Linked DNA regions of Neurospora crassa OR74A. The protein of the gene in region 2 interacts with the protein of the main gene of each other region in a pairwise test. Links are inferred from orthologs where the notes say so. Each region holds a gene or a part of one and is shown on either strand. Other genes may lie near its edges.

The links.
Region 1: the proteins of NCU03051 (region 2) and pod-5 interact in binary tests that used the Saccharomyces cerevisiae proteins (3 or more experiments, as listed by UniProt). The link is inferred for Neurospora crassa OR74A from reciprocal best matches to the Saccharomyces cerevisiae genes DIP2 and UTP13.

The regions. Positions count from the first base shown.
Region 1 is NC_026505.1:1,894,585-1,899,691, forward strand, and holds pod-5 (polarity defective-5), read left to right. Parts: upstream 1-1,487; 5' UTR 1,488-1,580; coding exon 1,581-4,349; 3' UTR 4,350-4,498; downstream 4,499-5,107. Other genes in the region: NCU03627 (hypothetical protein), read right to left, coding at 1-965, 1,022-1,054; NCU03629 (hypothetical protein), read right to left, coding at 4,717-4,898, 4,953-5,076. UniProt on the Saccharomyces cerevisiae protein: Involved in nucleolar processing of pre-18S ribosomal RNA.
Region 2 is NC_026501.1:8,275,327-8,280,710, forward strand, and holds NCU03051 (WD domain-containing protein), read right to left. Parts: upstream 3,574-5,384; 5' UTR 3,460-3,573; coding exon 3,443-3,459; intron 3,374-3,442; coding exon 496-3,373; 3' UTR 150-495; downstream 1-149. UniProt on the Saccharomyces cerevisiae protein: Involved in nucleolar processing of pre-18S ribosomal RNA.

The DNA.
Region 1 (5,107 bases), on a different chromosome or scaffold from region 2:
GCTTCGATTGCGTTTGCGCTTGGGGCTTGTTGTTGCTGCTGTTGTGTTGGTGTCGGTGTTCGTGGCTGAGTTTCTTGTCGCTGTTGCTGCTCTTCTGGTGTGGGTGTGGGAGGGATGTATGTTCCACTGGGCGGTTGTAAATAGGGGACTACCTCCTTAAGAGTCCTCCTCCTGCTGAAGTTGATGGGTTTGGGCAAGCGTCGTTGGATTTTCCGCCTAAGTGACCAGACGAGCCGGGCGTATGTCTTTGAAAAGAACCAGTAGCCGGCAAAAGGGGCGATACCGGCGACAAAGGCGCCGAGCCAGCTGATGATGCTTCCAGGGGTAAAGGAGGATGGGAGTTTTGGTAGGAAGATTGGGGAGTCATTGCAGCCTGGAATGAAGAAACCAAGGGTGGGAACCCATCTCGAGGTGTTCACAAGGCCGGTTCGTTGCATGAAGACGAAGATCTCTAGGTGTAAGTTGACCCAGGAGAACACGTACTTGACCCATGGGTATTCTGGCATGTCGAATCCAGCAAAACTATCGCTCAGGACATACGATGGCAGCCCGGCCCAGAGGTACTCTCCCCATGACTGCTGGCGCCTGTGAAAGTGAAATAGACGAGAAAAGGGAACATGGGCGTAGTCCTTGTACAGCAAGATACGCTGCCTCAAGCCGTTGACTCCCCAGACTCCGACGGTGGCCAAGACCTCGCCGGTGAGGAACAGCTTCCTCCCAATTCCATCTTCGTAGTACTGGTGCTTGGTGGCGGCTTCGTATAGAGCTTGGGCCTCGTTGATGCCACTGTCCGGTTCGGCAACGCCGATGACCAGCATAACCTCGTTGTGAGAGCGGATGATGTCTCTGTTGATGCGCCGTGTCTCTGGATTCACTGGTCGTCCTCGGTCATCATACAACTGCTCTGGGGCCCCGGGTTGGGGCTCGCCAGTGCCCTCAACTACCTCATCGTAGGGAGACCGGCCCTGTCCTTAGTGTCAGAACGAAGTTGTAGCCCGAAAGTCTTGCAACGATGACTTACAAGGGCCTGTGATGTCAGTGGGCCCAACCGCATCGTGAAAGGGTCAACTGGATTCAGGAGGTGTTTGTAGATTACTATCCGGCATTGCCAAGATGTTTATGTGTACATTACACGGTGAAATTTGACCAGTCAGTGGCCATCCTCGTGTAACAAACTAGGTCCTGTGCCAGAGATTGTGTTATGGTGAAGATAGTGGTGGTATAGCTGATGAGTGATGGAGACTGGAACAGACAGTTGACGTTGGTGGGGGCGATTGGGGAGCACAGAAAGCCGAGGGAGGGTCATGCTCCAGTTGCTCCAGTGCTCCAGCGTGGTTCGTCACGGATTCCTACAGGGGTTGGATCTGCATGGCGCTAAGATAACCTTATTGCCTGGCCTTATCAGCGGGCGGCAGGCAGCGACCCGCGAAAAGTTTTTGGGATTGGGGACTTTGCAGTGTACCACCCTACACTTGACGTTCTAACAGCAGAACCCCAAAGGCGGCGGCGCGCAATCGCAACCCTCCTTGCCTCTCTGTTTGATTTAATCCACTTGTACAGCCAGACACTCCGTCACCACAATGGCGTACAGGCAAACCACCACCAAGACGACCTTCGAGGTCAACAATGTCATCCAGCCCATTTTCACAGGAGGTTCCGTAGCCCTCGACAATGGCGCTAGGATCCTCGCGACCACCCTCGGCGAGCAGGCCGTCCTCACAGAGCTCAACACCGGCAAGCAGCTCGCCGAGATCGAGGGCGACGGAGAGCCCATCTCGACCCTCACCATCACCCCTTCGGCCTCCCACCTGATTGTCTGCTCTCGTTCTCTTACTATGCGCATATACTCCCTCAAGGTCTCACCAGATTACGATTCCATCGAAGCCACCCTTGTACGCACCACGAAGCCCCACGCCACCCCCGTCGTGGTTCTCGCGGTCGACCGAACTAGCACCCTTCTTGCCACCGGTGCTGCCGACGGCGCCATCAAGATCTGGGACATTGTCGGAGGATACGTTACCCATACCGTTAGCGGCCCGAGTGTCCTTATTTCTGCCCTCCACTTCTTCGAGATTGCCGCTCTCGAGGACCAAGCCAGCAACAAGAACAAGAAGAACAGGCGAAAGAGCACAGCCGAGGAGGAGCAAGCTCAGGATGACAGCGTCGCTTCAAAGTTCCGTCTTGCCTACGGCACACAGGACGGCAAGATCCGCATCTTTGACCTCAGCAAACGCAAGACCTACCCCGTTTACGCCGACCCGACTTCGAGGAGAGAAGCGCACGAGTCCAACGTACAAAGCCTTGACTACTCACCAGAACTACATGCCCTTCTCAGCGGTAGCAGAGATAAGACAATGACAGTATGGCTGTGGAAGGAGGGGACATGGAGGGGAACACCCATGTTGCGCCATGAAGGCGTTGAAGCTGTCGGCTTCCTCAACAACGGAAGCTTGATGTATTCGGCTGGAACAAGTGGCCTACTTAGGCTATGGGACACAACCACACACCAAGAAATCACAGCAAAGCAAGACGCCAAGTCGGAAGCCGAGTCGATAGTGTCAGCCCTTGCTCTTCCCCACAAGAACCTTGTTGTTTGCGCCCAGTCTGACTTCACCCTCGCCCTCTACCGCACACCTTCGGTCGCCGATGCCACCAAGAAGTCGACGAAGCCTCTGGAACCCTTCAGGCGCATCTCGGGAACACACGACGAAATTCTCGACCTTGTTTACCTTTTGCCCGATCAGTCTCTCATGGCTCTTGCAACCAACTCCGAAGATATCAGACTTGTATCCGTGGCGGATAAGCAGCCCCAGCTGGGCGACGAGGAGGAGGGCGCGGCATACTTTGGCCATGACGTAGCTCTACTCAAGGGACACGAGGATATTGTCATGTCTCTCGATGTAGACTGGTCTGGCCACTGGGTTGCTAGTGGTGCCAAGGATAACACAGCTCGCCTCTGGAGGGTTGACCCAGCCAATAACTCGTTCGAGTGCTATGCAGTCTTCACTGGCCACATCGAGTCTGTCGGCGCTGTCGCACTCCCCAAGATCGTACCTCCCGAGAACTCGGAGGCGTTCAAGAACCCCCTCGACCACCCGCCCGCATTCCTCATTTCCGGTTCCCAGGATCGGTTCGTTCAGAAGCGTGACATTCCCCGAACATCACAAAAGGGAGCCGTCTCAACCAGTCTCCGTCGCTTAGCCCACGAGAAGGATATCAACGCTCTCGACATCAGCCCCAACGGAAAGCTTTTTGCCTCGGCATCACAAGACAAGACGGTCAAGATCTGGGATTCCGCAACATTAGAAGTCGTAGGTATCCTCAAGGGTCACCGCAGGGGTGTCTGGACGGTTCGGTTCGCGCCTCAGGGCATGCCTGCCATTCAAGGCGAGACCGGCACTGCTGTTTCCGGTAAGGGTGTAATCTTGACGGGTTCTGGTGACAAGACCATCAAGCTCTGGAACCTCTCGGACTACACCTGTCTGCGCACATTCGAGGGCCACTCCCATAACGTCCTCAAGGTTGTTTGGCTGCGCCTTCCCAAGGCCGCTGACGACGCTGAAGACGAGGCTGCTGCTGCCGCCTCCAAGGCCAAGCAGCGCATCCAGTTCGCCTCTGCGGGCGCCGACTCCCTCGTCAAGGTCTGGGACGCCAACCTTGGTGAGACCGAGTGCACGCTCGATAACCACGAAGACCGTCTCTGGACGCTCACGGTGCACCCCAAGACCAATATGCTTGTGTCTGGTGGTTCCGACTCCCGCGTAACCTTCTGGAAGGACACTTCGGCTGAGACCCATGCCGCCGCGTCCTCGGCCGCCCTCAAGCTCGTCGAGCAGGAGCAGCAGCTCGAGAACTACATCCACGCCGGCGCCTACCGTGACGCTATCATTCTGGCGCTGCAGCTCAACCACCCCGGTCGTCTCCTGGGTATCTTCACTAACGTGGTCACTACCAACGCCCCCGAAGAGGGCTCTCTCTGCGGTATCAAGGCCGTCGATCAGGTGCTTGGTAACCTCTCCGACGAGCAGATTTTCCTGCTCCTGCTGAGGCTGCGCGACTGGAACACCAATGCGCGCACGGCGCCCGTGGCGCAGCGCATCCTCTGGGCGCTCGTCCGACTCTACCCTGCCAACAAGTTCTCCAACCTGTCGGTCAAGGGCGCAAGGGGACAGAAGAGTCTGAAGGAGGTGCTCAACGCGTTGAGGGTGTATACTGAGAGGCACTATAAGCGCATAGAAGAGCTGGTGGATGAAAGTTACCTTGTTGAGTATACTTTGCAGGAAATGGACAGTCTGGCACCGCCGGCGATTGAGGAGAGGGATGGGGATCTGGTTATGGCTGATGCATAGATTTTTGCCTTGAAATTTTGGAAGCATAACGAACGGCTGGGAAAAGTAGCAGTGGATTTTTTGTGAAATGGGATGAAATAATGTGATACCAAGTTTGAAACACATACACGTATAGACCGAATGCTAGTGTCCCGTTTGCCGATTGTGTGATTGTTGATGAAGTTTTCTTTCTTGTGAGAAGCCCATTCCTAAATCTATTTCATGCCTCGCCCTGGGTATCAATAATGCGTGTGTAGCGTCAGCCATGTACCATAATGGCCGATTCCTTTGGTAACGTTTCTCGTTGCGTCGTCGACCCCATAGTTTAACTCACCATGCCTCGAGCACGTTCAAGGCTTCAAGGCTTGTCTATCATGGTGGCTCTCCGCTATTTCTGTTTCCCACTCCTCGTCTTCTCTTTAACTTTGGCTGCCTTGAGGTGATCCACACAATCCTTGATCACAGACTGAAGGTCACTGTTCCGCCTAGCAAGTAGAAGCACGTCATCTGTGGTAACGGTGGTACGCCCAGCATGTTGGCTGAAGGTTTCCAAATCGATGGCGACGTTTTCTGATGTCCACAAGTTAGTAACCGCCAAACAACTTGCGCTGAGAAAAGACGTACCAATCTGAGTCCACACAAGCTCGGTGAGAGCTCCGATGAACTGAGGAGTGGCATTCATGTTGCGACGGAGCGACTCATCGTCGACCATCTTGCCAATAGCGAACCACAGGGCTGATTTGAGACGCTTCTCTTGTTCAGTATTTGAGGTTAGAGCT
Region 2 (5,384 bases):
GTGTGAGGGGAAATTGGGGAATTGGGGAACATGAGGGAAAAGGGGGAATACAAGACGACGAAGGATGGAAAAAGACAATGATAGTGGACGGTGGACGATAGATTGCGGCACCACGAAGACGAACTGATCAAGACATCACGCGTTTCCCTTCCGGAAGTTAAGATGGAGAATTTGATGGGGGAGATTCAAGACAGAGCAATTTGGAGATAAGGGTAACGAATACTATGCAATGCCGTTTTAACTAGACCCCAACTCCAAAAAAAAGAGAAACGTTGCCCTATTTTACCTTACGAAAGAGAAACGGTATCAACACCGTTCACCCCTTTCTCCTCTACGTCAGACATCATATGTATGTTGTGTTATGTGCGGAACGGATTTGTTCTCTTCCAGATCCCTTCTACTCTTTCCACCTACACTACCCTTCCTCCACCTGTAGGTCACTCCCATGTATCATGCTGGCGTTTGTTTCCTTCGCCAACCCCAACCATCCGACGCTCAAGAAACCTGCACGAAAGCACGCTTTTTAACTGCCTTGTTCTCCTCGTTCTCCTCTTCCCACTTCTCATCAACATAATCCTTCACGCTCTTATGCTGCAACTGCATGCCTACGACCTTGAGCGCCGCAACATTGTACCCCATCTCATCCTTCTGGCGCTTGAGTGCACCACGCAAGTTGGTGCGAATGCCATCCAACATGGCGCGCATCGTCTTGCTCGCCACGATCTGCTTGTGGTGGGTCTTGAGCATGAAGAACAGAATTCTACAAGTAAGCGGGATGTTCATGGAGCGCATGGCAAAGATGTTGAGGAAGGTGAAGAGCATGGGGACGGTGGCGAATGGCAAAACGAGCAGAGCATCATGCAGCGCCGACGCCTTGATCTTCTGCAGCACGTTCATGACATGCTGCTCGGCGCTGATGTTGCCGAGCGCCATGAAAAGCACGTTGCGCTGCGGCGGCGCCACGTTGGGGTTCTGCTGCTTGGCCTCCTCCCACTCCTTGATAGCGTTGAGGTCGGCCATGCCGAGTTCGAGCGCCTCGGCAATGCGCTCACCCGCCATGAGCGTCTCAACCGTCTGCTTGGACGCAGCGCCGACTTCGCGGTTCTCGTCCTCGGCGTCGGGGTCTTGCTCGAGCGAGGTGGTGAGCGTACTCTCGTACAGCTCCTCAATCTCTTTCTCGCGCTCTTCTTCGAGGAAGATCTGCTCGTCCGTCTCCTCCCATACGCGGATACTCTTGTCATGACTAGCGCTGATGAGGAATTGGCCGCTGTGAGCAACGGCAATGGCCCAGATCTCGCCGTGGTGGCCGTCGATCCTCTGAATCTGCTCGAACTTGTCGGCATCCCAGTACTTGATGGTGCGGTCCTTGCTGGCACTGAAGAAATGGTGGCCGTTGCCGTCCGAGTTGTGAGGAACAAAAGCAACTTGGAGGATGGAGTCCTGGTGACCGAAGAGAGCCTTGTGGCAGTCACCGAAATCGAGACCCCAGATTCTGATGTTCTTGTCGGCGGAACTTGTGACAATGAGCTTGTTGTCGTAGGAGATGTCCATGCTGAGAACGGGCAGCTTGTGACCGTAAAGGTTGAGGTAAAGCTTTAAAGAGTCGACGAAGAAGACCTTGACAGTGCTGTCGAGAAGGGCAACAGCAAGCAACTTCGCGTCGGGGGAGAACCTGAGACTCAGGATATCGTCTGATACCTTGAGAATCTTGGACTGGACAAGCTTGAGCTTGGGGGTTGTCCTTGACGTGCCTAGAACCTGTTCCTGAACGATCTTGAAGTCCCAGAACTTGGCTGTCTTGTCAGCACCGCCAGAAACAACGGACTTGCCGTCTGGGTGAACCTGTAGTGACCAGATGGCATGGCCCTCGTGAGCGTTGACGCTCTCTAACAGAGATGCCGAAGCAACATCGTAAAGCTGAAGCTCGCCCTCCTTGGTTCCGACCACGACCACCTTGTCGCCAGGCAAGAAGGAACAGCAGAGCGCGTAGCCACACTCGAATGTCCGGATGCATGTGTTGGTCTTGATGTTCCAGATCTTGAGGGAGCCGTTTGCTGCCGAAGCCAACATCTTGTCGTCTGAGCTGATGGAGAGGGCACGAATGTCTGTTCGGTGTCCGGGAAGCTCCACCGCAAGCGCCTTGTTGTAGTCTGGCGCATCACCCTTGGACTTGAGCTTATCCTTTCCAACAATGGTATATGTCTCGAGCAGGTTGTTTGTGCCTCCAACAAGGAGCTGGAGATCCTTGGTTCCTTGACTGAGGGCCCAAGCGACCGACCGAACCTTGCCTGTTGTCCGCACGATAACATGCTGCACGAAGACGTCGGAGATGTCTGCTTTTGAAATATCATCGGCCTTGTCGTCTTCCTCTTCCGCGTCTGCTTCCTTCTTGCCCTTCTTCGCAGCCAGCTCTCTTCTTCTTCTCCGCTTCCTCGCCAAGCTCTTCTTGATTTCGGCTTCGTTTCGTATCCTCCAAATCTCGACAGACTTCTCGACGCCATGTACTGCAAAATAGTCGCGACGGGGGTGGAAGATGACCTCGACGGCCCTTTCTTTGCTCGAACGGTGTAGTGTGCCGCGATCGTGGAGGAAGTTGATTGCTTGCGAGAGATCGACCTTGCGTGCTGACGAAGCGAGTCCTGCTACATCCAAAGCCCATACCCTCATCTCGCCGTCGTTGCCAGCTGTGACGCATCCACTAAGGTCGGGAGAAACACCAAGCGCCCAGCACTCGCCGCTGTTCTGTGCCACATGGGTCTCGATACAATGCCGTGATGAAAGATCCCAAAGCTTGATGAGCGCATCCTTGCCGGTCGTCAAGAGGAAACCTTCTGTCGCTTCGTTGTCCAGCACCATAGCCTGCTCTTCGTCGTCGCCGCCTTCGGGTATTTGCGGCTCGGGCTCGATGAATCGCAGTCCTGTGATCTGATCCTTGTGTCCTCGTAGCTTGTACTGGCCGACTTCGGCGACCAAATCCCAAACGATCACATCGGTATCCTTTGCGCCACTGGCCAGGCGCACTCCCGACTTGTCGAAGGCCAGTATCGTGATTGCCGACTTGTGTCCATTGAAGCTGACAATGGTGGTGGAGATCTTGCTATCCCACAGCCTGATGCTGCCGTCTTCGTAGCCGACAGCGAATACGTCGGGATCGGTCTTGCTCTGGGCGATGGCAGTGACCTGGGCCTTGCAGTTCTCGTCCTTCCAGCGGTTGAGAAGCTCGCCCTTCTTGATATCCCAAGTTAGAACCTCATTGTTGGCGGCGACGATAGCCTGGCCCGCACCGGTGCCAGATTTGTCTTTGGAGGAGGTCCAGACGAGATTCGAGGAGCTGGTTGCGACGACACCGAAGGACTTGGAGGGCTCGAATTTGCTGTTGTTCCCAGGTGTATTAGAGATGCCATCAGGCGAGAGAAAAGTAGGACAGAATCGCAAGGCTTACAGGTATGATTTGACCATATTTGCGATAATTGGACAGCCACTAGTACAAGATGCCAATCCAAAATAACATGCGCAAGGTCTCTCGCGATTCAATGTCCACTAGCACAATCGTGTCGCCGCTGCGCAGTGGGTTGCCGTCCCTGAACTTTTTTTTGGCGTTGCCAGTCCGGCAAGTGATAAGATAAGAACTTTTGCCGCGTCCATTTCCACCAGCCACTGCCTGCCCAGACGGCCACTGTCCGCTGTGGCTGGCCCGGCCCCTGTCTGAAAGTGGCCCGGTCCCGCCGCCGCATCGTATCACGGCCTGGACGGGTTCTGCGGGGCAGTTTCCAGGCTTGGCGGCGTGTCTTCCGGCGCCAGAGTGGAGCCAAAGTACTTCAGCCTGGAGCCAGCAACGTCAGCCAGCCTGAAGCGAGGACCTGACCCCCTGCTGGGAATAGGGGGTCTGACAACAGGGCCAGAACAGGGTGCAGGCAGTGGTGTTGACAGTGCAAAAGCGTTATAGAACGAATCCGCTTGTATAAGCCCCTTTTCGATAATTGTATGTTTGGTTGAACAATTGTGGATTGTAATTAATGCGTTTCGGTAGTTGGTCTATTTGCGTTTGGATAGCTGACCCGCTAGAACGGTATACTTAAATAGTAATAGTATTTTATATAGAATAAAAAGTAGTGCGTACAATAGGAATTTTCGTTAAAAAGTGGTTCGCGTATATAATAGAAACTTCTATATAATAGAATGTTCAATTATCGAAGGTACTTCATCTTTAATATTTTATTTTATCTCCGAAGTAATAATTAGTTAAACTATCTATTTACAATACAAAATAAACTCGTATAAGAATTATTTTTGAAGGTTCAATTTATATTTTAAATTTATTCTTTTTTCTTTTATAAATATCCTACTATATATATATTAATTTATTTTATTAAACTTTTACTATTGTATATGTAATATAATAATTATTAATTGATATACGATTGGAAGTTGAATGGTATAATTAAATATTATATGAGTATTATTATATTATTTGAAATTATTGTAATATTTATTTAATATTTATTTATAATTTACTACTTTGGGGTTGCTGTTAGTATTTATTTACTATCTTAATTCCGTTGCTATAGGTATTTTTAGGTAGTATACTTTGTGCCTTACCCTTAAAGTAGTTTAGGGCAATTCCCTTATTTACTATTATTGTAAAAATATTAAATATTTATTCCTATTTTCTATTCCTAGTAGCTAGCGTTTAGTAGTATAAAGAAATACGTAGCCCGGGTATTTATTTTACACCTGCTTTTTTTTAAGCCCCTTTATATAGTACCCCGAATTTGTATTAGGATCTTAGATTATTGGTAGTTATTAGTACTAGTATTACTAATATATTACGCTTTAATTTATAGAAACCCTACGATAAGGTGTGTAATAATTTAAATCTATATATTATAATAGTAATTATTTATAATAACGTTAGTATATTGTAGATATATAGTGGGAGTTGGGGGTCGCTACCTATATTTCTTATAGTATATATATTAAGGTCCCCTACGGAAGTGGAAATTTATATATTAATTAGATTGTATATACGGAGTACGCTACTATTAATTTTACTTTTAAATAAAGAAAGTTAAAATAGTATTCGTCGGTTCTATTTATAATACCCCTTAGTATTATAATAAAAAAACTACTAACGACTCTAGCTTCTATTTAGGTCTCTATTCGGAGTTAAGTAGGGATATTTTATAGTTAATTATTATATTACGTAATTATTTTAAATATTTATATAGTTGGAGGGTAGTAGCGCTAAGGGCTTTAGTAATAGTAGGGTAGACGGAATGGAATAGGTGTTAGGTAGTGGGTAGTGGAAGCGATTTAGAACTTCTATTTACTTTTATTATAGGAAATTTCCTCCTAAATTTCTATTTCTTCCTAAATTTCCTTTA